Linked DNA regions of Elephas maximus indicus. The protein of the gene in region 2 interacts with the protein of the main gene of each other region in a pairwise test. Links are inferred from orthologs where the notes say so. Each region holds a gene or a part of one and is shown on either strand. Other genes may lie near its edges.

Region 1 (15,416 bases), about 60 Mb from region 2:
TTGGCCTGACTTAGGTCATATATCCATCCTGCAACTAACTACTGTGGCCAGTGGAGGTCAACCCTTAGAGCTGGGGTGAGGTCAGTCATTCCCAAGCTACATCCTTTTCTATGCTCTGAAATACCTTTAGTAGTAGTGGTGTTAACTCTTCTCTGAAAGTTTGATAGAATTCTCCAGTGAAGCCAACAGGGCCAGGGCTTTTTTTGTTGTGAGTTTTTTAATTACGTTTTCAATTTCTTCTTTTGTTATAGGTTTATTTAGTTGTTCTACCTCTGTTTGTGTTTGTTTAGGTAGGTAGTGTGTTTCTAGAAATTTTTCCATTTCCTCTAGGTTTTCAAATTTGTTACAGCATAATTTTTCATAGTACTCTTATGATTCTTTTAATTTCATTTGGGGGTGTTATGATATTACCCATCTCTTTTCTTATTTGGGTTATTTGCCTCTTCTGTTTTTCTTTTGTTAATTTGGCCAATGGTTTATCGATTTTGTTGATCTTTTCAAAGAAATAACTTTTGGTCTTGTTAACTCTTTCAATTGTTCTTCTGTTCTCTATTTCATTTAATTCTGTTCTAATTTTTATTATTTGCTTTCTTCTAGTGGCCAAGGGCTTCTTTTGCTGCTCTCTTTCTATTTCTTTGAGTTGTAGGGTTAATGTTTTGATTTTGTCCCTGTCTTCTTTTTGGATGTGTGCATTTATTGCTATAAATTGACCCCTGAGCACTGCTTTTGCTATGTCCTAAAGGTTCTGGTAGGAAGTGTTTTCATTCTCATTTGATTCTATGAATTTCTTTATTCTGTCCATGATTTCTTCTATAACCCAGTAGTTTTTGAGCAAGGTGTTATTCAGTTTCCATGTGTTCGATTTTTTCCCTTGCTTCTTCTGTCATTGATTTCTACTTTTATGGCTTTATAGTCAGAAATGATGCTTTGTAATATTTCCATGTTTTGGATGCTGTTAAGGCTTGCTTTATGACCTAATATGTGGTCTATTCTGGAGAATGTTCCAGGCGCGTTGGAAAAGAAAGTATACTTGGCTGCCGTTGAGTGGAATGTTCTCTATATGCCTGTGAGGTCAGGTTGGTTGATTGTGGCACTTAGATCTTCCGTGGTCTTTATTGAGCTTCCTTTTGGATATTCTGTCCTTCACCAAAAGTGTTGTGTTGAAGTCTCCTACTATTATTGTGGAGCTGTCTATCTCTCTTTTCAATGCTGTTAGAATTTGGTTTATGTATTTTGGAGCCCTGTAATTGGGTGTATAAATATTTATTATGGTTATGTCCTCCTGGTATATTCAACCTTTAATTGTTATATAGTGTCCTTCCTTATCTTTTGTGGTATATTTTACTTAAAAGTCTATTTTGTCAGAAATTAATATTGCCACTCCTCCTTTTTGATTTTTGTTTGTTTGATATATATTTTTCCATCCTTTACATTTTAGTTTGTTTGTGTCTTTAAGTGTAAGGTGTGTCTCTTATAGGCAGCATATAGATAGATCGTGTTTTTTATCCATTCTGCCACTCTCTGTCTCTTTATTGGTGCATTTAGTTCATTTATATTCAATGTAATTATTGATAGGTATGAGTTTAGTGCTGTCATTTTGATGTCTTTTTTTGTGTGTGTTATTGACAGTTTCTTTTTTCCACTTAATTTTCTGTGCTGAATAGTTTTTCTTCATATATTGTCTTTTCCTCTTTTTCATTGTTGTTGCTTTTGTATTTGATGAGTCTTTATGTTTTTGTTGTTTCTTTATTTTGATGTGTAGGATTGTTAGTTTCCCTTTCATTACCTTAATATTTACCCCTATTCTAAGTTTAAAGCAAACTTTTATGTCTTTATATTGCCTTGACTTCCTCTCCATATGAAAGATACATGACTACATTTTTTAGTCCCTCTTTTTTGTTTTAATGTTGTCATCTTTTACATAATGATGTCTCTGTTTTCCGGTTTTGAACATTTTAGCTTTGATTTATTTTTGTGATTTCCCTGTCTGGGTTGATATCTGGTTGCTCTGTTCTGTGTTCTAGTTTTGGGTTGTTATCTGATGTTATTCATTTTATAACCAGAGGATTCCCTTTAGTATTTCTTGTAATTTTGGTTTGGTTTTTGCAAATTCTCCAAACTTCTGTTTATCTGGAAATATCCTAATTTTTCCTTCATATTTGAGAGACAGTTTTGCTGGATATATAATTCTTGGCTGGCAATTTTTTCCTTCAGAGCTTTATATTTCATCCCATTGCCTTCTTGCCTGCATAGTTTCTGCTGAGTAGTGTGAGCTTAGTTTTATTGACTCTCCTTTGTAGATGACTTTTCGTTTATCGTTAGCCACACTTTAAATTTTCCCTTTATCTTTGGTTTTGGCAAGTTTGATTATAAATTGTCTTGGTGACTTTCTCTTGGGATCTACCCTGTGTGGGGGTCAATGAGCATCTTGGATGGATATCTTCTCATTTTTTATGATATCAGGGAAGTTTTCCGCCAACAGATTTTAACAATTCTCTCTGTATTATCTGTTATCCTCCCCTGTTCTTGTACTCCAATCTCTCATAGGTTATTTCTTTTTGATAGAGTCCCACATAATTCTTAAGGTTTCTTCATTTTAAAATTCTTGTATTTGATTTTTCCTTAAATATGTTGGTGTCAAGTGCTTTATCTTCAATCTCACTGATTCTGATTTCAATTTCCTTAATTCTGCTCCTCCTTCTACTGAGTTGTCTAATTCTGAAATTTTATTGTTAACCTTCTGAATTTGTTTGCTGTCTCTCTATGAATTCTTGAAGCCTATTCAATTTGTCATTATGCTGTTCTCTAGTCTTTTTAAGTTCCTCTAATGCTATGTCTGTGCATTCCCTGGCTTGTTCTGCCTTTTGCCTGATCTCCTTCCTGATCTCTTGAAGAGTTCTGTATATCAATCTTTTGTATTCTACCTCTGGTAGTTCCAGGAATTTCTCTTCATCTGGAAGATTTCTTGAGCCATCAATGAGTTATTGTATTTATTTATTTTAGGTTTGTTTACTATGTCCTAGCTTCTTGTTTTGATATGCCCAAATTGGCTGCTCACATGAGCTAGTTTGATTATTGGCACATTTGAAGCTCTAACATCCTGTCACTAGGTGGTTAGAGTTGTTACTAGGTGTTTTTTTTTTTTTTTATGAGCTCAGGAGTCCATTCACTTTTCTTGTATGGATTCAGCTCAGGTATCCAGGTAGTCGGTCACCATGTGTGTGGTGCAGGATCTCACCTACAGTCTTAGACAAGCAGAGGTGATTGGTGTAGGCACAGAAGAGTGTCTTGTGCTGCAGTAGAGAGTCATGTGTTGAGCAAGGCAGAGGACCGACAACCACCCCTGAATGTCTGTGTGGAAAGCATGTCCCTGTTCCCTAGAGTGTGTAAGGTGGGTGGGTTTTGCAGCTGGACTATGAGCACCCAATGCTGTTGACTGTCAGGACTGGGAGGCATCACTTATCCTTGGACCCCTGTCGAGGGTGGCTAGGTGGCATGGGTGAAGCCACTGGTCCTCAGGCTCCTGATGGGGGTAGGTGAGGACCCTGCTTAATAGGCAGAGTGGTGTCAAATGTCACTAACCTCCGTCTTCACCACATAGCTGAAACACTTGAAGTTAGACTTCAGGTATATACCCTGTTGTACTGTGCGAATGAGGGCCTAGGCTGTTGAAACGGGCCCACACATGTCTATGCAGGGGTAAAAAGCATTCAAAGTCTGTGCACTGCTTATGTCTGTACCTAGGCAAAGGAGCTGTTTCTGCCCTGAGTTCCCAGCTTAGGGGAGCAGCAGATTATTTTTCCCCATGTTTGTTAATTTTTTCCTCCTCCAAGGCTGGAAAGATGGCTCAGGGCACATGACAGGTCCTACTTCCAGCCCAGGGAAAGCGCTATCACTGAAGCCAGTGAAGAGTAAGAAGGAAAGGAAACCTCAGTGAAGACCCAGGCAGAGAAGCAGTTCAGCAAACAGGTTTCTCCTTTACTCTGAAAACTCCAGTCATATGGCACATATGGGCCATCCGTTGTTATTGTTGTTAGTAGCCATCAAATTTATTCCAACTCCTGGCAACTCCATGTGTACAGAATAGTACTGTTCCACAGGGTTTTCAAGGCTGTGATCTTTCAGAAGCAGAGAGCCAGGTCTTCTGAGGCGCCTCTGAGTGGGTTTGAACCACCAACCTTTCAGCTAATAACCTAGTTCTTAATCTTTTGCACCACTCAGGGACTATGGGCTCACCAGCTTGTACTATTTATCACTGCCTCCTCCTCTTTTTCTTTTACTAGCCCTGGTTAGTGCAGTGGTTAAGAGCTTGGCTGCTAACCAAAGGGTTGGCAGTTCGAATCCACCAGCCACTCTTTGGAAACCCTACGGGACAATCCTACTTTGTCCTATAGGGTCGCTGTGAGTTTGAATAGACTCCATGGCAACAGGTTTGGTTTGGTTTTTTGTTCGTCAGGTTATCATGAAGTTAAGAAGCCCCTGAGCATTCCTCCGTCAGATGCAGAATAACAGAAAACAAAGGAATTCATTCCAATTGTTTTAGCACTGATACTTGATTTCCCCCAGCCCAAATGGTTGTGGCTTGTATAGTTATGTATTTTTGTTCAGGAATAACTTTCTTTTGGATATTCTTAGAATTTGATAATGTTTTCTGGTTTCTGTGTCTTTTTGAAAGGGGAGAAAGATTTGGGTTGCACTTTAGACGAGAAGGGGCCTGAGCAGAATTCTTTAGCCATCTTGGATGTAAAAGATTATAGGAGATTTCAGGGCTACGCATTCACTGAAAGGCGTCTGTGGGAAGCATGTCTGGCCCGTTCACAGTCCTTCCTCGTCATGGGCTTCCTTTCTTTTCTCTCTCATTTTTCTCCTCCCTCTTTTTGCATTGATGATATGACATTGAAGGCTGTTTTAGCTACTACTGCTGCATAACAATATCCAAAACAGTTGCTTAACCAACCTATTAAAAGAAGCTGAAGAGATTTGACACCTAAATGCAAGGCCCGACTCTAGACTGGATCCTGTACTGAAGGGGAAAATGCTCTAAAATATATTATCAGGTCAACTGACAAAATTGGAATACAAATAGTAAATTAGATAAAAATATGCCTATCAATGTTAAATTGACTGAAGTTGATAAGTGTACTGTAGATACGGGGGAGAGTATCCCTGTTCTTAGGAAATGCACACTGAAGTATTTAGGGGTAAAGGATCATGTTGTATGTAACTTACAGTTGAATAGCTCATTATAAATTATATTTATATACATATAAAATACATGAAACCCTGGTGGCATAATGGTTAAGAGCTATGGCTGCTAACCAAAACACTGGCAGTTTGAATCCACTATGTGCTCCTTGGAAAGGGAGTTCTACTCTGTCCTATAGGGTCAGTGTGAGTCAGAATCGACACGAAGACGATAGGTTTTTTTGGGGGTTGTTTTATATATATGTATATATAAACGAACCATTTTGTACCATATTACTAGAAGCTGAAGAGATTTGACAACTAAATGCAATGCCTGACCCTAGACTGGATTCTATATATCTATATCTATATATCTTATATATATATACCTAGAGAGAGAGACAGAGGAGAGAATGATAAAGCAAATGGGGTAAAATGTTCACAATGTGCGAAAAATTGGATAAAGTGTATATGGGTATTCTTTATACTTTATACATTGAAATTATTTCTAAAATTTTTAAAAATAACCGTTTTACTATTTTATTTTGCTCGTTATTCGGTGGGTCAGGAATCAAGAAGTGTTCAGCTGGCAGTTCTTGCTTGGGGCCTCTCATACAGTTACAGTCTCATGCCTGCTGGGGCTGCAGTCATCCAAGGGCTCAGCTGGGCTGGGTGTCCAAGATGGCTCAGTCACACTGCTGGTAGTTGATAGTAGTCGTCTGCTGAGACCTCATCTAGACTTTCCATTGGCATACCTACATGTGGCTCTCCAGCATGGCAGTCTCAGGGTAGTCAAACTGCCTTTTATTTTGTTTCTCCCAGCAACTATCCTTAGGGAACATGTGGAAGTTGCATGATGTCTTCTGACTTAGCCTCCAAAGTTATGTAGCATCTCTTCTGCTGCACTAGCCTGGTGATGAGTGAGTCACTAAAATCACTATGGTATCCAATATCTTGCATTCATGTCTTAAAACCACCATAAATGCTTACTATATGTCAAGGATGTTTTATATGCTTTACATGCAGTAACTCATTTCATTCTTATTAAAAACTCCATAAGGTAGGTAGTCTTATTACTCTTACTTTAATGAAGAGGAAACTCAGGCAGAAAGGCAACTTCCCACCATCACACTCCATTAGTTGTATTTGAATCCATTGAATCTGGCCCCTGAGCCCATGCCTTTAACTACTATCCTATGCCACCTCTACCTAGAGCTGAGTCCTGTTACATTTGGTTAAACTGTCATGTACATTGTTGTTGTTGTTAGGTTCTGTGGCATCAATTCAGACTCATAGTGACCCTTTGTACAATAGAGTGAAACACTGCCAGGTTCTGCACCATCCTCAAAATTGTTCCTATATTTGAGCTCATTGTTGTTGTCACTGTGTCAATCTAGCTCACGAGGGTTTTCTTCTTTTTCATTGACCCTGAAGCATAATGTCCTTCTCCAGGGACTGGTCCCTCCTGGTGACATGTCCAGAGTATCTGTGCGGTCATATACATAATCATTTTTTCATTCATGATTACGATCATGCAATCTCCCCTAACACATTGAAACCATGTGGCACAATGGTGTTTCTTTGCATATGCTGTTTCTTCTCCCTGGAATACTTTTCTTCCAATTATTCACCTATTTATATCATTTATCTTCAGGTCTTTTAGAGGTCTTCTCTGATCATCCAACTCCAGGTTGAGAACATCTACTACGGGCACACATGCAATGTGTGCTTATGAAGTTATAACTTTTGTCATTATACTTTGTAATTTGCCTGTTGTCCCGACTATGCCCACCACTGGACTCTAAGTTACCCGAGGTCAGAGACATTATTCTGTTCACTAATACATTTCTAGCATTGAGCACAGTGCCTGGTATGCGTAGTATGTTCAGTAAGTTCAAACCCATCTCTCACACTCACACTCACTCTTCATATACAGTTACCACATATTTCTCGCACATAAATACAGTCCCTAAGACAGTCTCCTGACACATACAATATCCATCACATTCACTCTTGTCCACACATGCTTATGACTTATTCCTCATTCCATGCTTATTCCTTATTCTACTGTCACATTCCTCACACACACAATCACTGTAACACAGCTCTAATTCTCAATCACTGTCACGTACGGTTTTTTCACACAACCATGGTCACCGTCTGTACTCTTTAAACACGACAGTTACTCTCCTACAAGTTAAGATGACAACAGCTCTATTTCTCACCCATACGCCATCACATACTGTACTTTTTATCTGCACAATCCCTGACATATACCATTATGGCCACACATTGTTTTACTGTCTTCTTCCCGCAGCCATTCTTACCCGCACCCACGCTCTTACGTACATACAGCCCAGGGATAAAAGAGGCACATCCGTGGGGGTCAGAAGCCTCGTCAACTCCCAAATCTCAGCCTCAGGCCACTGCGGCCCCGCCCCGGCCCCGCCCCCTCATGCATATGCAGCACCTCAGCATATCAGCACGGCCCCCAGACGGCCATTTGTAGCGGCGCTGGAGGCTGCGTTCGGCAGGCGCTGAGAAGACGAGTAGAGAAGCGCGCCCCTCGCCGCTGCCTCCTCTGGCCTCTGTGGACGCCCCGCTTCTCCGCGTCTCAGGCGGAACCGGGCCAGCCCCGGGTGCCGAGCTGCCGTGCGGACCGACCCTCCCAGCAGTTCCCGGCGCCGGGGACCCCCGCCCGGCCGCTCGCTCGCAGCCCGCCGGCCGCACACGTCCCCGGAGCCGGGCCTAAGGCGAACGGCGGCTTGGTGCGGCCGGGCAGGGCTCGGCGGCGTCCCCATGGCTGCGGCCAGCTGGCGGGACGGCTCCGGCCAGGAGAAGTACCGGCTCGTCGTGGTCGGCGGGGGCGGCGTGGGCAAGTCGGCGCTCACCATCCAGTTTATCCAGGTGCCTGAAGCGGGCCTGCCGGGGGCGCCGGGGCGGCGGCGGGCGGGGGCTCGCGCTACCTGTGGCGGGGCGGACGCCGCAACACCGCCCCGGAGGCGCCGCGTGGGGGCCGGGGCCGGGCCGGGGGCGGGCGCAGGGCCGGCTCTGCCCTTCTGCCCTGCGGCCGCGGCGCCGTGCTCCTGCCCGCCCGGCGGGCGACGGGGTCGACGTTCCGGGAGTCGGGCTTCTCAGGAATGTGGCCGGGAGGGCGGAGCTGGCCGGCTGGGAAGCGCCGATCCACCTTATCGCTCCGGCGCGGGCCGGAGCCCTCCGGTAGAGGCAGCGCCGCTGAGCCCGGCTTCCTGCTCCGAGCGCCCTCGCGTTGGCCGTGAGGCTGGAACCCAGCGCTGGTTTTCCAGCCGCTACCGGGCTGCCTCCGGCGCCGTGCTTGGGATCGCGGTGGCAACTTGGCCACCGCTCTGCGTGGTCTCTGAGTTTCACCGCGCTAGCTGCCCCGGAGCTGCCCAGTTCAAACAGTGTGTTTTTCTTTGTGTGTGTGTGCTTTTAAGTTATCTCTTAGGTAATATGTTCGGGGGGTAGTGTATGATAATACCCCAGGGAAATGGTGGCTTCGAGGAAGTTAAAAATGTTCTCCGATAGGCGTGAGACCACTTCCTAGGAATGCCTGATGCCTTCCTGCTTCTCCCTGTGCCAAGGTGAAGTTTGGGCTGGGTCAGGTTAAGGGGTGACTGAGTCGTGCATTCTGTGCTCTAACCATCCTTTCCCCCACCCCCAACCCTCTCTTGCTACAGGCCAGAAGTCAAAGGTTGTGGTAAAGAAAACCAACCAACCAACCCGTTGCTGTTGAGTCGATTGCTTGCGTCTCATAGCGACCCTATAGGACAGGGTAGAGCTGCCCCATAGAGTTTCCAAGGAGCGCCTGATGGATTCCAGCTGCCAACCTTTTGGTTAGCAGCCATAGCTCTTAACCACTATGCCACCAGGGTTTCTGTGGTAAAAAAAAAAAAGAAAAGGGAGGTGGAATTCTCCTTTCTTAGAATTTCATCTAGGTTAAAAAGGTTAAGTGATCTCTTTGGGATTTTTAAAAAGAGTAACCCAGGTATCTTTCTGCTTTTGTCCATCTAGTAGGTGTGGCATATTCTGATAGAGAACGAAGGTAGCCAGTTAAAACCGGTGAGAAATATATTCTTACTGTTAAGAGGCTTTGGTGAAATACTTATTTTATTTCTGGTTTCTGCTTCACCCCTTTGTCATCAGTTGGGGGTACTTGAATATCTTATTTCATTTCACGTTTATACCAGTGCCCAGTGCCGTCGAGTCGATTCCGACTCCTAGCGACGTTTATAGTGACGTTAAAATACAGTGTACTGTAGCATAAATGACTGTTAACCTTTCACATTGACTAAAAGAGCAATGATTTAAAAAAATAAATAAAAATTGCTGCTGTAATATTCCAAGGGATTAAAAACTGCTGCTTAAAACCTTTGTATCCAGGAAAAGAGAATGTTTATGCAACGAGCATTTACGGTAGGCTCATTAGTGGGTTAAAAAAAATCACACTAAGAGGCGAGATTGGTTTAAGTTGAGTAGGCTGTGGAATCAGGGATGCTGTCATGTTTCCCTAGGACCCAAAGAGGCTTTAAGTAACAGATAGCAAAGCAAAACAATTTATAGCTAACCTTTTCTCTGGAGACTATAGTCTGATGGTTAGCGTTGTGAGGGAGGAGTGGGAGAATGAATAATCCTGGGCTCCAGCATTGATAAATAGGGTTATCTAAAAGATTTGAACCACAAATATTAACTTTTTTGGGGAGGTATTATCTGAATGTATTTAAATATGCAACCTGATTATTTTAATTAAGATATCAGAACTTTCTGTTCTGGAAAATAGTATTAGAAATCACGAAACTAATGGTCATTGCTGTTTTCCTAACGATTTTCTGGAATTTGTTGAGATAATCCCTGCTTTATGAATAGTGCTGTACCTCGGTGCCAAAAAAAAGAAACCCATTGCAGTTGAGTTGATTCCTACTCATTGCGACCGTATAAGAACAGAATAGAACTGCCCGTAGGATTTCCAAGGAGCACCTGGTGAATTTGAACTGCCGACCTTTTGGTTAGCAGCGGTAGCTCTTAACCACTACACCACCAGGGTTTATCTAGGTGCTCTAGATGGTATAAAAGAAGTAAAAGGGACATGTATGCCTGATAAGGACATGGATATATACATAGGGAAGGAGAGTGAACGATTAGTCACAGACTTGAGCTCTGTATTTTGCTCTGTTATTTACTGGCTGTGAGAACGTCACCAAGATATTCAGCCTCTCTGAGCCTTAATTTTCTCATCAGTAAAATGGGTCTGATTATACATTCTTTATAACCCTTTAAATTATGGGAAAGTTCTTAGCATTGTGTCTTGCACATAGTAAGTGCTCAGTTAGTGGTAGCTGTTGTATCAATAGTATATGTATGTAGTACCGTAACACACATAAGCGATGGGAATTCAGAATCAGGGAGAAGTCAGTTTGGGAAGAGTTAATAGGAGTACCATGTATGCTTAGTGGTGAGGAGAGTAGATATGTCATTTGTAAGAATGGGAGAGTCTGGTCTTAGCTTGGAGAGAGGAGGCAGGCTAGGGGTAGGGAGTGTGATAGACAGGCAGCTTGGGGGCCAGTAAAGGTGAGGAACGTGGGCTTTGAAGTTGACACTTTCTGGAGAGGCAGGAGCCAGACCACCTGGATGGAGTCCAGCTCTCCCACTTGCTGCATGTATAATCTTGTTGTTAGGTGCCATGAAGTTGTTTTTGACCCACGGCGACTCTGTGCGACAGAGTAGGACTGCCCCGTAGGGTTTTCTTGGCTGTGATCTTTTACTGGAGCAGATCGTCAGGTTTCTTCTGTGGAGCCGCTGGGTAGGTTTGAACTGCAAACCTTTCTGATAGCAGCTGAGCGCTTAACCATTGCACCACCAGGGCTCCTTAGTGTACACTTAGGCAAATTATTTAACCTCTCTGTACCTCAGGTTTTCCCATCTGTAAACTGAGGAAATACAAAGTACCACATACAGTCATTGTGAAAATAAAATTAGTTAACATATGTCAAGGGCTTAGAACAATGTCTAGTGCATAGTAAGGCTACATACGATGTTGTTGGTCAATCTTAGATGACGGAGCTAAGGTGACTTGTTTATCATCTGTATTTACTAGAACCCACTTCCGTCGAGTAGAGCTACTGTATTTACTAGAGCCACTGTCTTAGTTCTGCTATAATAGAAATGTAATGGCTTTAACAAAGAAAAATTTATTTCTTCACAGTAAAGTAGGCTAAAAGTACAAATTTCGGGTGTCAGCTCCAGGGAAAGGCTTTCTCTCTCTGTCAGCCTTTTTATCAATCTTCTATCAGGTTAGGAGCTTCTCCGCTCAGACCCCGGGTCCAAAGGACGTGCTCAGCTCCCAGCACTGCTCTCTTGGTGGTATGAGGCCCCCTCCTCTGCTCCTTTCCCTTTCCTTTTATCTCTTTAGAGATAAAAGGTGGTACAGGCCACGCCCCAGGGAAACTCCCTTAACATTGGATCAGGGATGTGACCTGGGTAAGGGTGGTGTTACAATCCCACCCTAATCCTCTTTAACCTAAAATTATAATCACAAAATGGAGGACAACCACAGGATACTGGGAATCACAGCCCAGCCAAACTGATAGACACGTGTTTGGGGGAACATAATTCAATCCATGACATTCCACCCTTCGGCCCCCCCCATCACATTCTTGCAACATACAAAACACATTCATCACATCATATCATAGCAAAAGTCTTAACTCTAAGTCCAAAATCCAAAAATTCCACTTCGTCTGTGAAATCTAGCATATGAGTTATCTGCTTCCAAAGGTGCAATGGCAGAACAGGCACAAGCTAGACATTTCCATTACAAATGGGAAAAACTGGAGGAAAAGCAAGGATAATAGGCACCAAGCAAGTCAGCAGAACACATTACATTAGCCCTCAAAATAATCTTCTTCTCTCTGAGACAATTTACACAATGGCCCTGCCCTCCAGATTCTAGGCATTGACCACACTCTCCAGATTCTGAGTGGAGGCTTCTCAGCCCTAGGCTTCAGCTCCGCCTTCAGGCCCACTGGGACAGCAACTCTACTCCCTCAGCTTTAGGTGCACCATTCTCCTAGTCCATCTGGGTGGCACCTTCACCCTTAGAAACACCAGAGGCCATAGTTCCACCCTTTGAAATCCCAGAGGTCCTGGCCATATTTTTTGAGGCTGATTGAGCTCGGATTCTTGAGTTTTTTGTCTCTTCAGCTTCTGCTTCCTGTTTTTTTTGGCCTCTCAGCTCTTTGGGCCTCATGCCCTCATCTGTCCTGCTGGGGCAAATGTTCCAAAGCTCTGTAGCTCCACCGATAAGTGCCCGGAGGCACCCCACTCTGCTAGGAAGCCTCTTGCGCACAGGTACTCAGCTCTCTCCCTTCATGGGCCAGCTCTAGCGCTCTCTGGCAGTGGTCCCTAGTTCTGCTGCTGCCGGTGGTTCTCTGCTGCCGTAGGTCCTCTGCTGCTGCTGGTCCTCTGCCGCTGCTGCTCCTCTATCCATTCACAGTTTCAAACTGCTCCCACATTTTCGTTATCTGTTAGAGCAGCACCCTGCTTTCTTAGTACCAATTTATGTCTTAGTTATCTAGTGCTGCTATAACAGAAATACAAGTAGATGGCTTTAACAAATTTATTTCTTCACAGTAAAGTAGGCTAAAAGTCCAGATTCGGGCCGTTGGCTGCAGGGGAACACTTTCTGTCAGCCTCCTCATTGATCTTCGCCCGGACTGAGTTCTCCACACAGGGACCCTGGGTCCAAAGGACGCACTCTGTTCTTGGCACTGCTCTCTTGCTGGTATAAGGTCCCCCTTTCTCCTCATTTCCCTTTTCTTTTATCTCTTGAGAGATAAAAGGTGGTGCAGGCCACACCCCAAGGAAACTCCCTTTACATTGTATCAGGGATGTGACCTGGGTCAGGGTGGTGTTACAGTTCCACCCTAATACTCTTTAACCTAATATTATAATCACAAAATTGAGGATAACCACACAATACTGGGAATCATGGCTCAGCCAAATTGGTACACACATTTTTTGGGGGGTCATAATTGAATCCATGACAACCACTATTGTCTGACTCCTAGAAAACTGATTTTGCTGTGATTGTCTAACAGTAGTAAGTGCAGGAAGAAGAGGCAGCAGAAGGCTAATCACCTTAGCAAGTGGAAGTTGGTTCTCTTTGTAGGAAATTAAAACCAAGCCAAACCCATTGCCCTCCAGTGTATTCTGACTCGTAGATACCCTGTAGAACAGAGTAGAACTGTTTCATAGGGTTTCTAAGACTGTAATCTTTACTGAAGTTGGCTGCTTTTAAGACTCCTTTAATAACAGAATTTTTGCAGTTTCCGTACGTATTTTTCTATTATGAATCTTGACCTAAAAAATGTAAACAACAAATTTGGGAATGTAGAACTTAAAAACAAGGTTACCTCTCGCACTGACTTTCTTTGACCTTAGATTTAGTTGTTACCTATGCATATTTTTATTTTCCCCTTTTGTGTATTGCAACTTGAGGCTTGAGTTTTTTTTTTTTTTTTTCAGTTCTCTCAGCTGAAGAAATGCTGAGTGTGTTCTTCCCTTTTGGTTTTCTATCTCCAGGTCTTTGCACGTGTCATCATAATACTTTGCCTTCTCTACTTTGCCTTCTCGAGCTGCCCTTTGAAATCTTCTGTTCAGCTCTTTTACTTCATCATTTTTTCCTTTTGCTTTAGCTACTTGACGTTCAAGAGGACGTTTCAGAGTCTCTTCTGCCATCTATTTAGGTCTTTGCTTTCTCTCATGTCTTTAATGATACCTTGCTTTCTTCATATGTGATGTCCTTGCACAACGTGTCTGGTCTTCCGTCATTCGTGTTCAACGCATCAAATCTATTCTTGAGATGGTCTCTAAATTCAGGTGGGATATGATCAAGGCTGTACTTTTGCTCTCATGGACTTGTTCTAATTTTCTTCAGTTTCAGCTTGAACTTGCGTACGAGTAGTTGATGGTCTGATGTGCAGTGGGTCCCTGGCCTTATTCTGACTGATGATATTGAGCTTTTCCATCGTCTCTTTCCACAGATGTAGTCGATTTGATTCCTGTGTACTCCATCTGGTGAGGTCCATGTGTATAGTCACTGCTTATGTTGTTGAAAAAAGGTATTTGCAATGAAGAAGTTGCTGGTCTTGCAAAATTCTGTCCTGCAATCTCCAGCATCATTTCCGCCACCAAGGCCATATTTTCCAACTACTGATCCTTTTTCTTTGTTTCCAGCGTTCACATTCCATTATCAATGCATCCTGATTGCATGTTCGATCAATTTCAGACTGCAGAAGTTGGTAAAAATCTTCAGTTTCTTCATCTTTGGCCTTAGTAGTCACTATACCAAAAAGAGTTGGTCAGTGTTCAGCCATTTCAGGAAGTAACATATAATCAGGAACTGATGGTACTGAAGGAAGAAATACAAGCTACACTGAAGGCAGTGGTGAAAAACAAGGCTCTGGGAATTGATGGAATAGCAGTTGAGATGTTTCAACAAATGGATACAACACAGGAGGTGCTCACTTGTCTATGCCAAGAAATTTGGAAGACAGCTACCTGGCCAGCTGACTGGAAGAGATCCATATTTATGCCTATTCCTGAGAAAGGTGATCCATCTGAATGTGGAAATTAAAAAAAAAAAAATTATTAATATCACATGCAAGCAAAATTTTGCTGAAGATCATTTAAGCACGGCTGCAGCAGTATATCATCAGGGAACTGCCAGAAATTCAGGCTGGATTCAGAAGAGGATGTGGAACCAGGGACATCATTGCCAATGTCACATGGATCCTGGCTGAAAGGAGAGAATACCAGAAGGATGTTTACCTGTGTTTTATTGACTAGGCAAAGGCATTTGACTGTGTGGATCATAACAAATTATAGGTAGCATTGGGAAGAATGGAAATTCCAGAACACTTAATTGTGTTCATGAGGAACCTGTACGTAGATCAAGAGGCAGTTGTTTGGACAGAACGAGGGGATACTGAGTGGTTTAAAGTCAGGAAAAGCGTGCGTCAAGGTTGTATGCTTTTACCATACCTATTCAATCTGTATGGTGAGCAAATAACCCGAGAAACTGGACTCTATGAAGAAGAATGGGGCATTAGGATTGGAGGAAGACTTATTAACAACCTGCATTATGCAAATGACAAAACCTTGCTTGCTGAAACTGAAGAGGACTTGAAGCACTTAGTGATGAAAATGAAAGACCG
Region 2 (14,909 bases):
GCTCCGGTGACTTTAGGTGATGAGTGCACCGCGTCCAAGTGAGAAAATGATTGTGCTGCTCCTCGGGGTTCGTCATGCCGGACATGGCAGCTCACCTTTCAGAGCTTGGGCTCCCTCTTCCATAAGGACAAAGGTGGGGGTGGTGGTAGGGGAGGCAGAGTCCTGAGCACACCATAACCCCTACCAGCTGTCATGGAGTCGATTCTGACTCACGGTGGCCCCAGTGTGTCAGAGCAGAACTTCTCCATAGGAATGGCTGATTTTTGGAAAGTAGATTGTCAAGTCTTCCTTCCACGGCACCTCTGGGTGGACTTGAACCACCACCATTTCAGTTATCAGCCAAATGCATTAGCTGTTGTTACCACCCAGGGACTCCACAAGTAAGCTCTCCGTTATTGCTCGGATCACTGCAGGAGTGGAGAGATTTGACCTCTTTCCACCTGGCTGGGGCCGTGGCTGCTTGGTGCTTGGTCCACTCAGACACACCCTGGATGATTGCTGAGTGGATAAGTGAATGAATCCTCCTGTCTTGGAGGTTTGTGGAATCTGGAGGCCACAGGGCATAGTGTCCAAGCCCTTTTCCCTTAAGCCACTGTCCGTGAGCAAACCTCAGTTTCCTCATCTGTAGAATGGGGATAATGAGACCACTCTTAGACTGGCCTATCATTGCCTGCCCTATCTGGAACCCCAGCGCCTGTATCACGACCCTGGTCGTGCTCATTTACTGGCCCTGGACCCCTGACCAATCAGGCCCTTTTGAGAAGATAAACCAGAAGACCCAGGCAGCAGGCAGGGCCAGACAGTGCTCCCATGAGCCACTGCTGGGGACATCTGAATTCCCAGAGTCAGGGATTAGGACTCAGCAGGGGATGGGGTGGGAGAGGCTTGAGGCAGGGGCCCAGCTGCCTGGCCACTTCCCTCCCATGAGACCGGCTCCACATCCTGTCCCTCGGGTTCTCCCAGCACCCCCCTGCAAACACTCCAGGTCCTTCTTCTGGTACTGAACCTGGTTCACCCTGTGTTTAGATCCCGGAGCGCAGTCCTCCCTTACGCTCCACAGGCTCCCACCTCACTGCCCCTCACTCTTAGTTATCAAACTCCAATCAGTGAACAACATTTATTGAGCGCCTATGGAGTGCTCAGCACTGAGGGCGCTGGGGGGAGGGGGGAGGAGGACATACAAAAGGGTGAAGGGAAGACTCCCTACCAGCGAGAAGCATGGAGGGGGAAGGGTAAAGGTGGGGAGGGAAAAGCCGCTGGTGCCCCCACACCTAAACTGCATTAGGGTTGTCTGAAAACCAGCGCGTCCACATCTGACATGAGGGTTGATGTCCCTTTGTGCTCAGTGCCTGAGGGAATCACCTCTGAGATTGGCTGGGGTCCTCCCCCCACCAGGGGGACAGTTCCTCCCTGTGGGGTCTGAGGGTCAGCCACCTTGGACCATGTGCTGCCCCTGGGCTGCCCTCCCCCTAGGGTCACTCTCTTAGTAGCTTCCTGGGCTATGTGCGCCCCCTCGTGGTCGATATTATTCTTTGCTCAGATTTGCCACCTTTTCTGCCCCCCACCCTTGGGGCTGCGTGGCCTTGAGGCTAATTTGCTCATGGCTTGAACTCGAGGGCCCTGGTTGGGTACAGGAACCCCTAATGGCTTGCTGGGTGACGTCTTGGGAGTCATCTTTCTTTTCTGAACCTCGGTGGGGCCAATAAGCCAGGCCCTGCCTCCCCAAAAAGCATTCGTGAGGATCAAATGAGTTAAGTGGAAAGAAAACAGCTTCCAAGCCCTCTCCCCTACTTCAGAAACTTGTCTCCCTGTTGGCGGGTGTTACTTCCCCCTGGGGTGTCAGACTTCCCAGCTTGGGCAAAGATTGGGAAGCTGATCTCCAGAAGGATGACCTCCCAGAGACTGATGACCTCCCGTGGACTGATGGGCAAGTGTCACCCAGTGACAGCCCTGGGGTCGGAGGCAGCGTGCAGAGAAAGGATTTTGGGGAGAACAGGACTAGTGGAAGGGGTTGCTAACGCCTGCCTCCTCCTCACCTTTCTCCCTAGTCCAAGCTCAGCTTTGCGGCAATCGCACCCCTCTGACTCCCAGAAACAGGCAGGGCAGCCAGCGCACCCCCTTTCCCAGGTGAGGACACTGAGGCTTAGAAGGCTATCGCCAGGTGGCCTGGGCAGGCCTGGGCCTGGGCCCTTGCTGCCACACTGTGGCCTCCCTGAGCCTCCTGACACATGGGACGGGTCGAAGCCTTTCAGTCCTTGAAGCCTTCAGCCTGCTGGGCTGCTTGGCCAGTAGCCTGGTCCTGGGCTGTGCCCTCAGGGGCGGTGCAATGACAGCTGGGTCAGAGCTCCTCCCCCATGGCCAGAGGTTGGGCACAGGCGGCCTCCAGCTAGGGTAGAAGAAGAGGCAAGGGGCATTGGGCACTTGGTCTGGGACCCCCCCAGGACCCTCAGCTTTACTCCAGTCCCTGAGCAGGTAGGATCACAGAGGTAACACTAGGTGGTGGCAGACATGGGAGGAGCCAGTGTGGGGTGGCCGAGGAGGCTGTAGCCCTGGCTGGGAGCACTGAGGCTCTGAAAGGCCCTCCCAGCTGCTCAAAGTCCCCCACCCTATGTGCATCTCTGGTCACTCCCAGCTACTCCTCCGCCTTCTGGCTTCCCTCAGCCTCTGGCCCCTCTGACCCATCAGGGCTTCCCCTGGCCTGACCCTCCCCTCCCTCAACAGCTACCTCGGTCTCTTGCCATCTGTCCCCAGGGCTAGCTTTGACCCCAGTATCTCCATCTCCTTGGGCTCCTTCCTCCTCCTCCCTGCTCCCTGCCTCTAGCGGCCCCCTGCCCTCCTTCTCTGTTGCAGCCCCAGGTGGGGCCTCAGGCTGCTCTGCCTGGCGGTAGACAAGGTAGATGGTTGTGGGAAGCCCGTGAGCCAGGGCTCCAGGAGGCAGGCGGTGGTAGCCCTGATCCTTGTATAGGAAGAGGCCAAAAGTGTCGGGCTGGGTCACTCGGAACTTGGTGGCACAGAGCTGGCTGAGGGTGGCAATGGAGGCCCCTGGCGGTACTGCCAGGGTCTTGGAGGTACAGCCACTACTGGGGTCCTGATAGGCTACTCGGAGGAGGTGCTGTGCAGGAGGAGAAGCAAAACAAGTCCTCAAGCCTGTCTGGTGTAAGATACCTGGCTCTAAAGGTCCCAGGTTAGGCTCTGCAAGGGCAGGGGTGGGATGGGTAGAACCTAGGCGGAGAACTGATTGTCAAAGCTTTTTGGATCCGATGAGTGCCAAGGGGGGCTCTGAGGAAGGGGGAGACGTGGTTGGGCCAGTGGGTCACAGGGCTGCAGGCTGGAAGGACAGCCCCTGGGGGTATCTTTCAAGCCTAACGATGACAGGGGACACTTAGATGGCCTCACTGTGCACCAGGCACCAGTCTAAGTACTTGGCTTACGTTAACTCAGACCCAGGAAGTATGTATTGTTAACCCATTTTACAGGGAAGAAATCTGAGACACAAAGAAGTCATGTACCTTGTTCGAGGTCTCACAACCAGGAAGTGGCAGAGCTGGGATTTGAATCCAGGAACTGGCTACAGAGTCTGGACTCTTAAACAAGGTTCCCTTGACCGGATGGAGAGGACAGGGATGGGATGTGGCTCTGAAAACACCCAGGCCTGAGCCCAGATGATGGGAGGGTGAGGGGAGCATGGGCTAGAGGCCAGGCTCTCGCCTGGTGCCTGGTGGGCTCCTGTCTGCAGGACAGGAGGGCAGAGCCTCAGCTGGGGGCTGAAGGCGAGGACTTTGGGCCTGGGCCTGAGCCTGCCATCTGTGCCTCTTTCCATCTCCAAGTCATGCCTCAGTTTTCTCATCTGTAAAATGGGGATAATAATGGCCCTACCCCAGACCCCTATCTCCACTGGCCGTGCTGCCTCCCCCGATCCTGGTGCTGCCAGGGGCTGCCTGCAGCCAGATGGATAGGCTGCCCCCACGCCAGGCTGTGAAGATTCAAGCAATGATGCCCCTGAAGCACTCAGCACAGTGGTACATCCTCTTTCTAGAAAGGGCAGCCTGCATATTTGCTCTGGACTAGCCCTTTTCCCTTGAGAAAAGGAGGGGACAGGCCTGGATGGTGCCAGAGCCCTTCCTGCCTGAACAGTGGGAGGTGGGGCCATCTGAAGGGCTCTGTTACCTGGAAGCTGTGGGTGGCCGGCAGGCGGCGCTGCTCCCAGAGGCTGAGGGAGCGCTGCAGCTCCTGGGAGGGGCTGAGGGGGAGGGAATGCGCCCGGTCCAGGCTGCTCAGCAGGGCCAGGCTGGCCGAGAGGCTGGTCAGGTAGTAGCCACCTGGGACACAAGGGAAAGAGGGTGGCTCAGTCTAGGGGTGGGTAACCTACTGTTTCTCCTCCTTCCCTGCTTAACTGGCCCAGGTAGAAGCCAAGGTTCAGGCCCCACCCAGACAGGGAGGTCCTGTGTTGGGAAGGGAGAGGGCGGGTGGGGGTAAGGAGTCCCTTACCCTCTCCAGTGAGCAGGGTGGGCTCCAGCAGCTCTGACATGTACTCGGCCTCAAGCAGCAGGTCCGGAAGGTCACATTGGGCCAGGACCAGGCTCAGCAGTGGCAGGAACTCGTCAGCACCTGTGTCCTCCCCTTTGGGAACATGGTGGGGGGTGGCTTCAGGCTCCTCTGGGGTCCCAGAGTCAGGGCCCATTGCTAGCCTTAGAAGTGACACTCCCCCATCTGCTATAAGCTCAGGGTGATCCCTATGGTTACAACGTGGAGGGGCTGGGGAGAGGGTGCTCTACTCCCTGGGCCTCAGCTTCCCCATCTGTGAGGCAGGAGGAAGGGGCGCACCCGTGTGGGTCCTCAGGGCCGTGTAGAGCAGCTTGCAGGCCTGCAGAAGCCGCTTGACCTGGGCGCTGGGTGAGTAGGCGCGGAGCAGCTGCAACAACTTCTGGCGTACCTGCTCCACCTCTACGGGGGAGGGTAGGCCCAGGCAGGTCCCAAAGGCACTGGGGCCCTGGGCCCGGGCCAGGCGGAGGCCCTCGGCCAGGCGGCCCAGGGAGCCGTCGGCAGAGAGCCTGCGCCGCAGGCGGGCGGCCAAGATGGGCCGAAGAGGCTTGAGCACGGAGCGGTGCAGTGACTTCTCCAGCACGTGCTCTGCAGAGAAGACACGCCAGGGGTCAGGGAGTCAGGACCAGGATGGGGCAGCATCCGGGGAGAAGGGCAGAACCAGGGAGGGAGAGGGATGGAAAGGAGGAGGAATCTTGGTGAGCCTGGAGAGTGGGGGAGAGGTGGGGATGGAATTCGCTAGAACGGTGGAAAGGCAAAGTGGACACGTATGGCAGAGACCAGAACCAGGAGGCAGGAGGAAATAGTGGGGAGGAGAGCCGAAGGAGGGGAGAACTGGGATTCTGGAGAGCTGGGGTGAGACTGGGCTTTCTAGTGGGGCCTCACCCAGCCTCTCGAGCGGCAGCAGCTTCTCGGGACCCAGCTCGGCGCTCAGCATGGCCCGGGCCCGGCTCAGTGCCTCTCGGACGCCCTGCAGCTCCCGGGGCTCCGGCCCAGCCCGCACCTGCGTCAGCAGGTCTTGCACCAGCTGGCCCACTGCTGTGTGGCGGTCCCGCATCAGCGACGTGGCCACCCGGCCCACCTGTCGCTCGGGCGCCAGCAGCGAGCAGAAGGCAGCACTCATGGAGCGGAGCAGGGGCCGCCGGCGACCCAGGCTGGGGGAGGTCGCTGGGCTCCCGTGGGCCCCCGGCGGTGCCTCCTCCTCCGAGCTGCTGGGGGAGCCGCAGTCCACCTCCTGGAGGGAGGGCAGCGGAGGGAGGCTGGGGCCGGTGCCCCCCGGCACACGGTAGCCCACTGAACTCTCCCTCCGAAGCAGCTGGCATGGGGGCAGCCTGTCTGGTTGGCTGGGGGCGGCCCCTGGCAGCACCGGGACTGGGGGAGGTGGTACAGCTGGTGGAGACAGGGGGCTGGAGGTCTCTGTGGACACGCGCACTTTGAAGCTCATTTTGAATTTCTCCCGCTTGGTGGGGCCCAGGTCCCCTGGGAATAGGGGGTTGAAGAAGCACAGGGCAGCGCCAGTGCCCTGGTCCAGCTCTTGAGGGGACCGGGGCTTCAGCCGGGGTAGCACCGGGCCGTCCCCGAAGCCCTGTTGAGCTTTGGTATTGAGGGTGGAGCTCCAGAACTCTGCGGAAGAGACTCCAAGTCAAGACCCAACCGTGGGAGAGGACCGCACCGCTTCAGTGTGTCCGTAAGTGCGATAGCTGGCAGAGGCGCCCTTACCAATGCCCAGATGGGAAATGGCCTCCAGCTCCTTGTGGGTGGCTGCCTGGTGGATGGCTCTGGGGAGCTGGAGCGGGAAGAGAAGGATGTCCCTGGGGCCGGAGAGGGGAGCAGAAAGTCAGGAGTGAAGGGTTCTGGTGTCTACAGGGGCAGACCTGCAGAGCTCCTCCGACACCAGGCACCTGTGGGCAGACTCACCGGGCATGGCAGTAGGCGCAGATGAGATGGACCAGGTCTGGGAACACGAGCTCTGAGCCCTCCAAGGAGACGCCTGAGAGATGGGAAGTGAGGGAGGTGTTCTCCGGGAAACCGCCCCACCGGCTGCTCCCAGCCCCTTCCCGCCTGCCAGCCGTCTCACCCCCGGGGCGCTCCAGGATGTAGTGGCTAGAAACGAAGGACGGGCCGCTGGCCTCAGGCAGCCGTACACACAGGGCTTGGCACTGGCGCGTGTTGGACTTCCGCACGAGAAACGTCTGCGGGGGACAGGAGTTGACAGCACAGGACCTCCAGCTCGGTCCCCCGCAACCCTCGGCTGGACAGCCTCAGGGGGCGGGGCAGCGCTCACCCCCGGGGGCTCGGTCCTCAGCACGTGCAGGGCGGCCGCGGCGTTGGCCCGCAGCTGCAGCCACACTGGCCGGGTGAGCAGCAGGCGCTCCCGAAGGCTCACTGTGCGTCCGGGCCTCGGCGGTCCGCCCGTCTGTCCTCCACTGGCGGCGGGGACGTCGTAGAGCGGGTCCGGGCCTGGCCTGGGGGCGGGCACACTGAGCCGGGCGGGCGGTGGGACGCTCGCCCAGCCTGCACCCTCCCGCCCTCGGCCTGGGCTGACCTTCCTCACCCTCCCTCCACCCACCTGCGGCCCTGCCAACTTCACTAACTTTTCTCCCTCCAGGTGCGCAGGAGCTCGGCCGGCTGGGCTGGGGGCTCCGAGGGGGTCTGCTCCCGGCTCCCCAGGGGCTTCCATGGCTGGGCGCTCAGCCGGCTGCACCCGCCGGGACGCAGGAAGGGAAGCCAGCCCCCAAGGCACAGGCACTCACATTCCCGGTGGTGAGTAACACTTCCTGAAGGCGGTGCGCCCTGGCACACCCCGCCCGTTAACTCTTGTGTGTCCACTCTGTCAGGGCCGTGCCGCCTCCTCTGTTCTGGGCCCACCCTCAGGGGGCTGGGACCCCCTCCGTGCTACTGCCACTCTGAGGGCCCCAGCAGTGGGGGTGCCACCTCCTCACAGAGATTCCCGAAGCCTCGCTGGCTCCCTCAAACTACACACTTGGGCGGGAAGGGGTTAAGAGGCGCGTCTAGGTCCCTACGGGCCCCAGACAGCCCTTGAGGAACCTTTAAGTCTGTGGTCAGTTGCTCATCTTTCCCTGGCCTTGAGGTCAGACTAGTGGCAGAGTGCCCCCTACTGGTAACATGACTCACGTCTGAATCTAACCTGGGCTTTGGAATTTCAGGTTGCCATGGAGAAAGGATGCTGTGTCTCCATGGCAACTAGCCCCTTTGCTTAACTGAGGTTCTGGGGGTGGTTCTAGCACTCGGCGCTAAACAGGGGGGAGTCTGGCTGTGAGGTCGTCAGCACATGGCGCTGCTGCCGGCTGCCTCCCCCGCACAGGTCCTGCCAATCTGCCAAGCGACTGGGGCAGGTGCAGACATGACCATCTCCAAGCACAGAGCACCCTGCCCCCTTCCCCACCCGAGGTCACATGCTCTGCCTGTGCGGCCACACGTTGCTCAGACTCCCGGCAGCACCAGTAGCCCAGGGCCCAGCCCCCACCTCCAGGGGGGCGGTGTATGGAAGAGCACCCCGTCCCCAGGCTGTACCCCAGGTCGGAGTGGCGGGCTCCCGTGGGCCAGGGAGAGGTGGTGTCATACCCCAGGGCCACCAAGAGAGTCTGCCTGTCTCAGGTGCTCCCACAGAAGCCCCAATTCCCCCCAGGTAAATTAGACACACACAGGCCACACCAGAATCCCAGGAAAGGTTTAATTCCAGTCCCCACCATCTGGGGGGCAGACACGAAGAGACACCCTGAGAAAACCTGGGGAGCCTGGCTTCTCATCTCCACCTCCTGCCAGGACAGAGCCCCTCAAATATAATTTATGGCTCTGAATCCCTAGGCAGTGGAGCCCAGCTCAGGGCTGTTGATCAGGGCCCAAGGTCAGCAGGAAGATGCCGTTTGGCTTAAATGAGGCATGTTTTCTTTGTTGGGGAGGACGGAGGAGGGTGGTCTTTGGGAGGGGGCGGCGGGCTGGCTAGGGAGAGAGAGAGAGTCTGGTCTGTGCAGGTCAGCCCCAGGCCCACAGTGGTGGCCACCCCGGTGGAGGGCAGAGAAAGAACTGAGGCAGGTGGTGCTGGATGGGGAGCCCGGCCACAGCCCTGTAGAGCCCACGGGCCGCCAGGCAGATCTGAGGGGCCTGTCGGTCCACCTTTCTGCAGCAGGAAAACGTGAGTCTTGGGTTTGGTGCCAGCCGCTCCGAGGGACCCGTTGGCTGGGAACAGCAAGGTCAGGGTCCTGGACGGTGCACAGAAAGGGGAAAAACACTGAGGTGAGAAGAGGGGTGCCCCTCCACATGCAGGTCACCTCACCACAGCTCTCATCCCAGTACTCCAGGCCCACCAGGGCTGCTGCACCCCCCTGCCCACCGCCACCACCAGCCCCAGCTGGGTGCACTCTCCAATCTCTAGCATTCCTTAGCTCCATCAACCCAGAGTTCCCCACCGCCCACCTTGTTTCCTGCTAACAAAACTCCCACAGAACCTCCAAAGCCTAGGTGGTTCTCGTGGCCTCAGACTGTGACATGACCGTGCCTCTCTCTGGCCTCTTTCCTGGATGCTGAACTGAGGGAGGTGACAGTGGGGATGGGGTGGGAGGCAGTCTGAGGATCTGAGGGTCTTACCATCTGATTTTCTCTTCTGAGGGGACACAGCTGCTCTAGCCTGGGTAGGTGAGAAGAAAAGCCTTCCTGAAAGTCTGCCCCCAGCCTGGCAAGATGCCCCCCCTAACCACCACCCGACATCAGCCCATTTGGGGATGGGGGCTGCACTGAGGCAGGTGGAGGAGGGTGGAGGCGGCAGCAAAAGACCTTTGTAAGCCAAGTTCTGATGGGGTCTGTTGTCAGAGACAGCCAGCTCTGCTGCCTTCCAACCTTCCCTCTCCCTCCCTCCCTTCCCAACTGCATCGAAACCTGGGCAAGGAAGGGGCCGGCATACTAACAGTGCTCCCTTCTAAGGCAGCCCATATCCCACAGGAATGTAGGGAAGCTGGGGTGGGGAAGGGGCAGCCCAGGGCCCACCTTTTTGATTGCTGTCCAGTCCTCCAGGATGTCGATCTCCTGAAGCATGTACACGATGTATGGGCCTGCACCCGTGTCAAGGAAGCAGGACGCCCAGGGCAGGGGCAGGTGACATGCGGCAGGCCAAGCCCACTGAGTTCAAGACCGACCCAACGGCCAGGGAGGGGGTGCAGGGACAGTGTGGGGTCAGGGGTTGAGAATCTGGGTTAGAGCTCAGGCTCCACCCCTACGAGAGCGCCTGGCTGGCTGGCAGCAAGGCAGCTCATTCCTACTTCACCAAGGACAGGGAGGGGGCAGCCCACCCCTGCAGCCCCATGGCTCACTCTCTCCTCCTCTCCTCAGGCGAGATCTGCTGTCCCAGGTGCACCCCCACCTCCAGGACTTGCTCCTTCTCCTCCCCGCTCCCGCCTTCATTACCTGTTCCCTCTCCTGGCCCTCTCCCCCATCTCAAAACAGACTCCGGCCTCTTCCATCCTGAAGACAAGTATCCTCTGCCCCCCCCCCACCCAGGACCATCCACTCTCCCTCCTGCACTCTGCACTGATGTCTCCATGCCCTCACCTCCACTCACTCAATTCCTACCTGCCTGCACCTCAGCTCCGCCACAAGGTGACCTGAGGAGCTGGTTCTTCCAGGAATGCCCTGGTGGAACCTGGGAATTCAACTCGGGGGCTGGGACATACCAAGGGGATCCCCAGGGTGGTGACTCGGCCAGCCCTGGACTAGAGGGGCTCATGGCAGAGCCCAATTCTACCATATGGGATGTGGTCACCCCAGAAGGGAGGCCACAGGTGTGCAGAGAGAAAAGCCATGGCCACTAGAGTAGAACAGGAGAGGCTTCATGGAGGAGGCAACACATGAGATGAGCAATGAGAAGGTGGAGAAAGCTAGAAAGAGGGGGTGGAACCCTGGGAAAGGCACAGTGGTGGGGAAGCCTGGGCCCAGCTTGGGGATGAGTGAGTGGCTGGGGAGACATCGTGGGAAACCCAGACGGGGACCAAAGGCCAAACTCACTCAGGAAGTCCTGGGGAGTCAAGACTGACGTTTCTCTTTCTCTACAGTCCACAGGGCCCAGGAGACCCCAAAATCCAAACTCAATTCTGACTCATAGCGACCGTATACGACAGAGTAGAACTGCCCCACAGGGTTTCCAAAGAGCGCCCGGTGGATTCAAACTGCCAACCTTTTGGTTAGCAGCCACAGCTCTTAACCACTTCCCCACCACGGTTTCCCCGGGAGACCTGGGACGCCACAATAAATCTCTGACAGCTGAGTTTGCCTGGACATGATCACATGACACCAAACGACCATGAACGTGTTGGTCCTCTGTCCTCCGTGTCCCCGGGTCTGGAGCTGGCCCTGGCTGCCCCCCCCAGCTTCAGGCCCCCGTGGCTGGAAGGATACCGGAGACAAGCGGTGCCTTCTTCCTCTTGCTGGGTGGCAGGGAGTCCCAGGTCCTGGAGCTGCCTCTGGCGTGCAGTTTCTCATCCCACCACTCTGTGCCCCAGAGGCAGGGTCAGGGTGCCAGCCCTCAAGGGTGCCCCCCACCCTCACTGCCTTTGTCCTCCCCTCCCCTGGGGCAAAGAACTCTGGGCTGAGCTGGGAAGCCTGAGTTCAGGTCCGGACTGCACAGCTGTGCACCATGGGAAAGGGCACTGCACTGCTGTGAGCCCCAGGTGCTTCCTTTGTTCAGCAGATGGGGGAGGGTGATGGGGGGGATGACAGGGTGATGATAACAGCTGCTGCCTCCTGAGGACTCCACAGTAGCCTCTTGGCAGAGCAACTGACATGAAGAAGGAACATAGGTGCTGTGGACACGGAGCGGACTGTGGTGACCATATGTGGGCGTACCGGCCCGCACCTCCCGTTCTGGGGAGAGAGCAGGGACAGGAGGGCATGGGGCCCACTCTGCCCAACCCCTCACTGCATGCCTGGCCCTGGGCTGGGCCCTTCCATGCCTGCTCTCAGTCAGTCCTCTTGGCGACCTCAAGGAGCAGGGCCAATGACTGCACCCATGTGCAGTCAGGGCAGCTACGTGCAGAGGAGTGCTGGGCACTGGCAGAGCGCCTCACCCGAGCTGATGTCCAGGCTCTGGCGGTCCTCTTCCAGCCTCTGGATCCGCTCCTGCAGCTCCCCCTGCAGGGTGTCGTACAGCAGCAGCTTCTCGCTCTGAAGGAGGCCGGAGCAGCTCAGTCGGGTGGGGCCCCTCAGGCCCTGCCCACACCCCTCTGCAGGCGCCCAGCCCCTCACCTCCAGGTGCTGCTTGGCTCCCTGCAGCTCACACTCATACTTATTCCTGATCACGTCCAGACAGAAGCCCTTGTAGATGCCTGTGGAAGAGGGAGAAGGGGGCCCCCCTAAGGCAGCGGTTGAGGTATCCGAGGAGGGCTGGGAGTACAGGGCAGGCAGGGATGAGGAGGGGGACACAAGGGGTGACTGGGGCCTGACCCCAGGACACGGGACAGCCCACACACCTGCCACCTGAATGCGAATCTTGAGGCTCCGTTGCAGCCCCCCCAGAGGCTCCGTGTACTCGGGGGCTCTCTCAGCTCCCACTTCCTCCAGCCGCCACCGCAGCTGGCTCAGTCGCTCCCTAAACAACCTGGGAGGTGAAAGGCAGCCCCAACTTGTCGGTCCGTTGTGCTCTTGGGCAGATACACGCAGGGCCCCAGCTCCGTGGCAGGCCCTGGTCAGGTGCTCACTCACTCTGGACCTCAGCCGCCCGCCAACACCCAGCCTACTGCCTCCTCCCCCAGGACCGTGAAGACCAGCCCTAGGTGTGCCCGCTCACTTCTCCTTCAGCTCCGAGAACTGCTTCTCCAGGTCTAGCATCTCACTGACGCACTCGCTGCGACGTCGCTCATAGTCCTCATCATCCATCTCTGGGGACAAGAGGCCAGTCAGGGCCTCTGACGAGGAGCGGGCGGGTACCACGTGTGCGTGCGCATTGGTGTGTACAAGTGTGTGTGCACATGTGTGTGTACACTCACCGGAGCTCTCCTCCTCAGACTCTGTCTGACTGCCACTCCGTTCCTCCTCACTCTCTTCCTCCTCCCCGTTCATCTCGGCCGCTGAGTCGCCCTCTGCTTCCATCTCTTCTGTGTCCTTGCTTGGGGGCTGGACGGGCATTTGTGCTCTGGGAGAACAGGTGGAGCCATCACTCAACACTGGCCATGGTACAGAGCTGAGTGGCCGAGCAGGGAGTCGAGCCCAGCCTGACCCTCAATTAGAGGGGACAGCAGGGAGGTGACTGTCCTCGCCACCCTGACGCATGCTGGGTGAAAGGGAGCAAATGGCTCCGGGTGCACATCTCCCCCAGGAGCGTGGGAGCCATGGAAACGCTCATGCCCTCTGACCCCGTTGGCGATCCCAATCCTGGGCGAACTGGCCAAGCACCAGTTCACAGAACGGGAAAGGCCAACGACACGAGGCGTTACCACCCAAACGTCCCACCCCCAGAAAAGGCTGGGTGGGCTGTGATGGCACTATGAGAGCAGGCATAGGGAGGTGGAAAACACTGCAGGTACAACAGTAAGTGTGGCCCTGAGGATCCACAGTTGCTCTGCCTGTGACCTCCCTGTGGAAGTGGTATGAGGACGAGGTAAGTTCTTCAAGAGGCCAGGAACCAGCAGGGCTCTGCGTGAGCGCTCTTTCCCTTTCAGAAGCCCCCGAGGGCTCCCCCTGCCTATGGGACTCGGCTTAAACTTCTAGTGGAGGCTTTCAAGGCCCTTCCCAGACTGGACTAAACCACCCACCCAGCTCCTTGGCCCCAACCATGCACTGGTGAGTCCTCAAAGACACCACGTTCTCCCTCCTCCTCTGCCCATCGTGCACTCCTCTTCTCTTCCTGATAGCTTTCTACATTTCTCTGTCTTCGTGCTCTGCTCAGTTATTTCCTTCTCCTTTGCAGAGATCTCCTCAAAGGCTGTATCTCAGCAGCCCCTTTGGTGACGCTGGGAGTTCCAGCATGTACCCCTTCTCACTCCACACTGTCTGCCTTGGTGTTTGCACCCTCTTCCATGGCCTGAACAACTCGCCCTGTGATGGTGACCAGATCTCTGTGCGGGCGATTTCACCGGGGCTTAGACCCAGGTCCCCTTCCCTCCCCCCATCCCTTCTCTCACTTCTCATTTTCTGCTTCCTCTGGGACCCCACATCATCAGTACTCCCCTCTCTTCTGTAGCTTCAACTCTCCTTGGCAGGCTCCTTCCCATGAAACCGTAGATGTGCTCAGGTGTTTTCCACCATTAAGAAAATGCGAAAACACAAACCAAACCTCACCCTATTCCGCTTCACTGCTTTCCACGCCACAGCTCCACTTTCAAGGCCTTGTATACACTTGCCCTTCCTGCTTCCTCACCTTCCATTTGCTCCCATCTGGTCCTGCACCCATCACTCTCTGCTGAAACGGATCCCACTGAGTTAACCGACAACCTCCTTGTGGCTACTGCCAGTATTTTTGGGGGCTATCTTAATTGATTTCTCAGCAACATCAGACACAGCCAAGCAGTCCTTGTATTCCCTCACTGAATATTTATTGAACACTTAATATATGCTAGGTGCTGCCAGGCACTATGGCAGGTACAGGGGAATTCCTGGGGCAGGCAGGCAGTATTTATCTCCAGGAACTTACACGTTCCTGGGAGAAGAGGCAAAGCAGCAGACCACTACCACGGTGCGAGAAGAGTTAAGCCTGGGGGCACAGGGGAGGGGCCTCTAAGACCAGGAGCTTGGGGCAGCAGTGAGGGCTGCCAGGGGAGACACAGCAGATGGATGAACTGACTAGCACAGGAGGGAACATTCCAGGTAGAGCGAGTAGCATGTGTAAGGATACAGAAATGAGAGAAGGGAGTGGGGGAGGGTTGGGGACCTGGGTCTAAGCCTCAGAGAGAAATCTGGGCCGTACAGAGATCTGGTCACTATCATAGAGTGAGTTGTTCAGGCCATGGGAGAAGGTATGGCACCAAAGCAGAAAGTGTGGAGAAGGGGTCCATGATGAAACTCCCAGGGTCACCAAAGGGCTGCTGAGGAGACTCCCGCAAAGGAGAAGGAAATTAGGGAGAGGCAGAAAAGAAAAACCCCAAAGCTATGGCCAGAGAACATTTTAGAAGAAGTGGCCAACAACAGTGTCTAATCCTGCCAAGAGAGCCCCTAAGGGGGGGATTTAACCACCCTTCCAGCAGAGAATCTCACTGCCTCCTGGGGGCTTCTACTTTACTAAGCTCCTCTTCTAGCTTCGCTGGCCACTGCTCTGCAGCCCTTTAGATTGGTGTAGACTCCACTCCCTCCACGAAGCCTTCTTTGCATCTCCCTTCTGTTTGCTCATTTTCCTTCTGTCTCCCCAGCCACTCTGTGTGCCTCCC

The links.
Region 1: the proteins of RIN1 (region 2) and RRAS2 interact in binary tests that used the Homo sapiens proteins (3 or more experiments, as listed by UniProt). The link is inferred for Elephas maximus indicus from reciprocal best matches to the Homo sapiens genes RIN1 and RRAS2.

Annotation. Positions count from the first base shown.
Region 1 is NC_064825.1:69,693,565-69,708,980, reverse strand, and holds the start of RRAS2 (ras-related protein R-Ras2), read left to right. Parts: upstream 1-7,681; 5' UTR 7,682-7,983; coding exon 7,984-8,091; intron 8,092-15,416. UniProt on the Homo sapiens protein: GTP-binding protein with GTPase activity, involved in the regulation of MAPK signaling pathway and thereby controlling multiple cellular processes. Regulates craniofacial development.
Region 2 is NC_064825.1:129,476,199-129,491,107, forward strand, and holds RIN1 (ras and Rab interactor 1), read right to left. Parts: upstream 7,305-14,909; 5' UTR 7,223-7,304; coding exon 7,137-7,222; intron 7,008-7,136; coding exon 6,827-7,007; intron 6,735-6,826; coding exon 6,620-6,734; intron 6,533-6,619; coding exon 6,460-6,532; intron 6,354-6,459; coding exon 6,262-6,353; intron 6,166-6,261; coding exon 5,428-6,165; intron 5,131-5,427; coding exon 4,825-5,130; intron 4,621-4,824; coding exon 4,489-4,620; intron 4,320-4,488; coding exon 4,168-4,319; intron 3,113-4,167; coding exon 2,633-3,112; 3' UTR 2,387-2,632; coding exon of another isoform or gene 2,339-2,386; 3' UTR 1,110-2,338; downstream 1-1,109. Other genes in the region: BRMS1 (breast cancer metastasis-suppressor 1), read right to left, coding at 8,758-8,765, 9,151-9,190, 9,547-9,611, 10,951-11,043, 11,619-11,715, 11,797-11,876, 12,021-12,148, 12,338-12,428 and 1 more. UniProt on the Homo sapiens protein: Ras effector protein, which may serve as an inhibitory modulator of neuronal plasticity in aversive memory formation. Can affect Ras signaling at different levels. First, by competing with RAF1 protein for binding to activated Ras.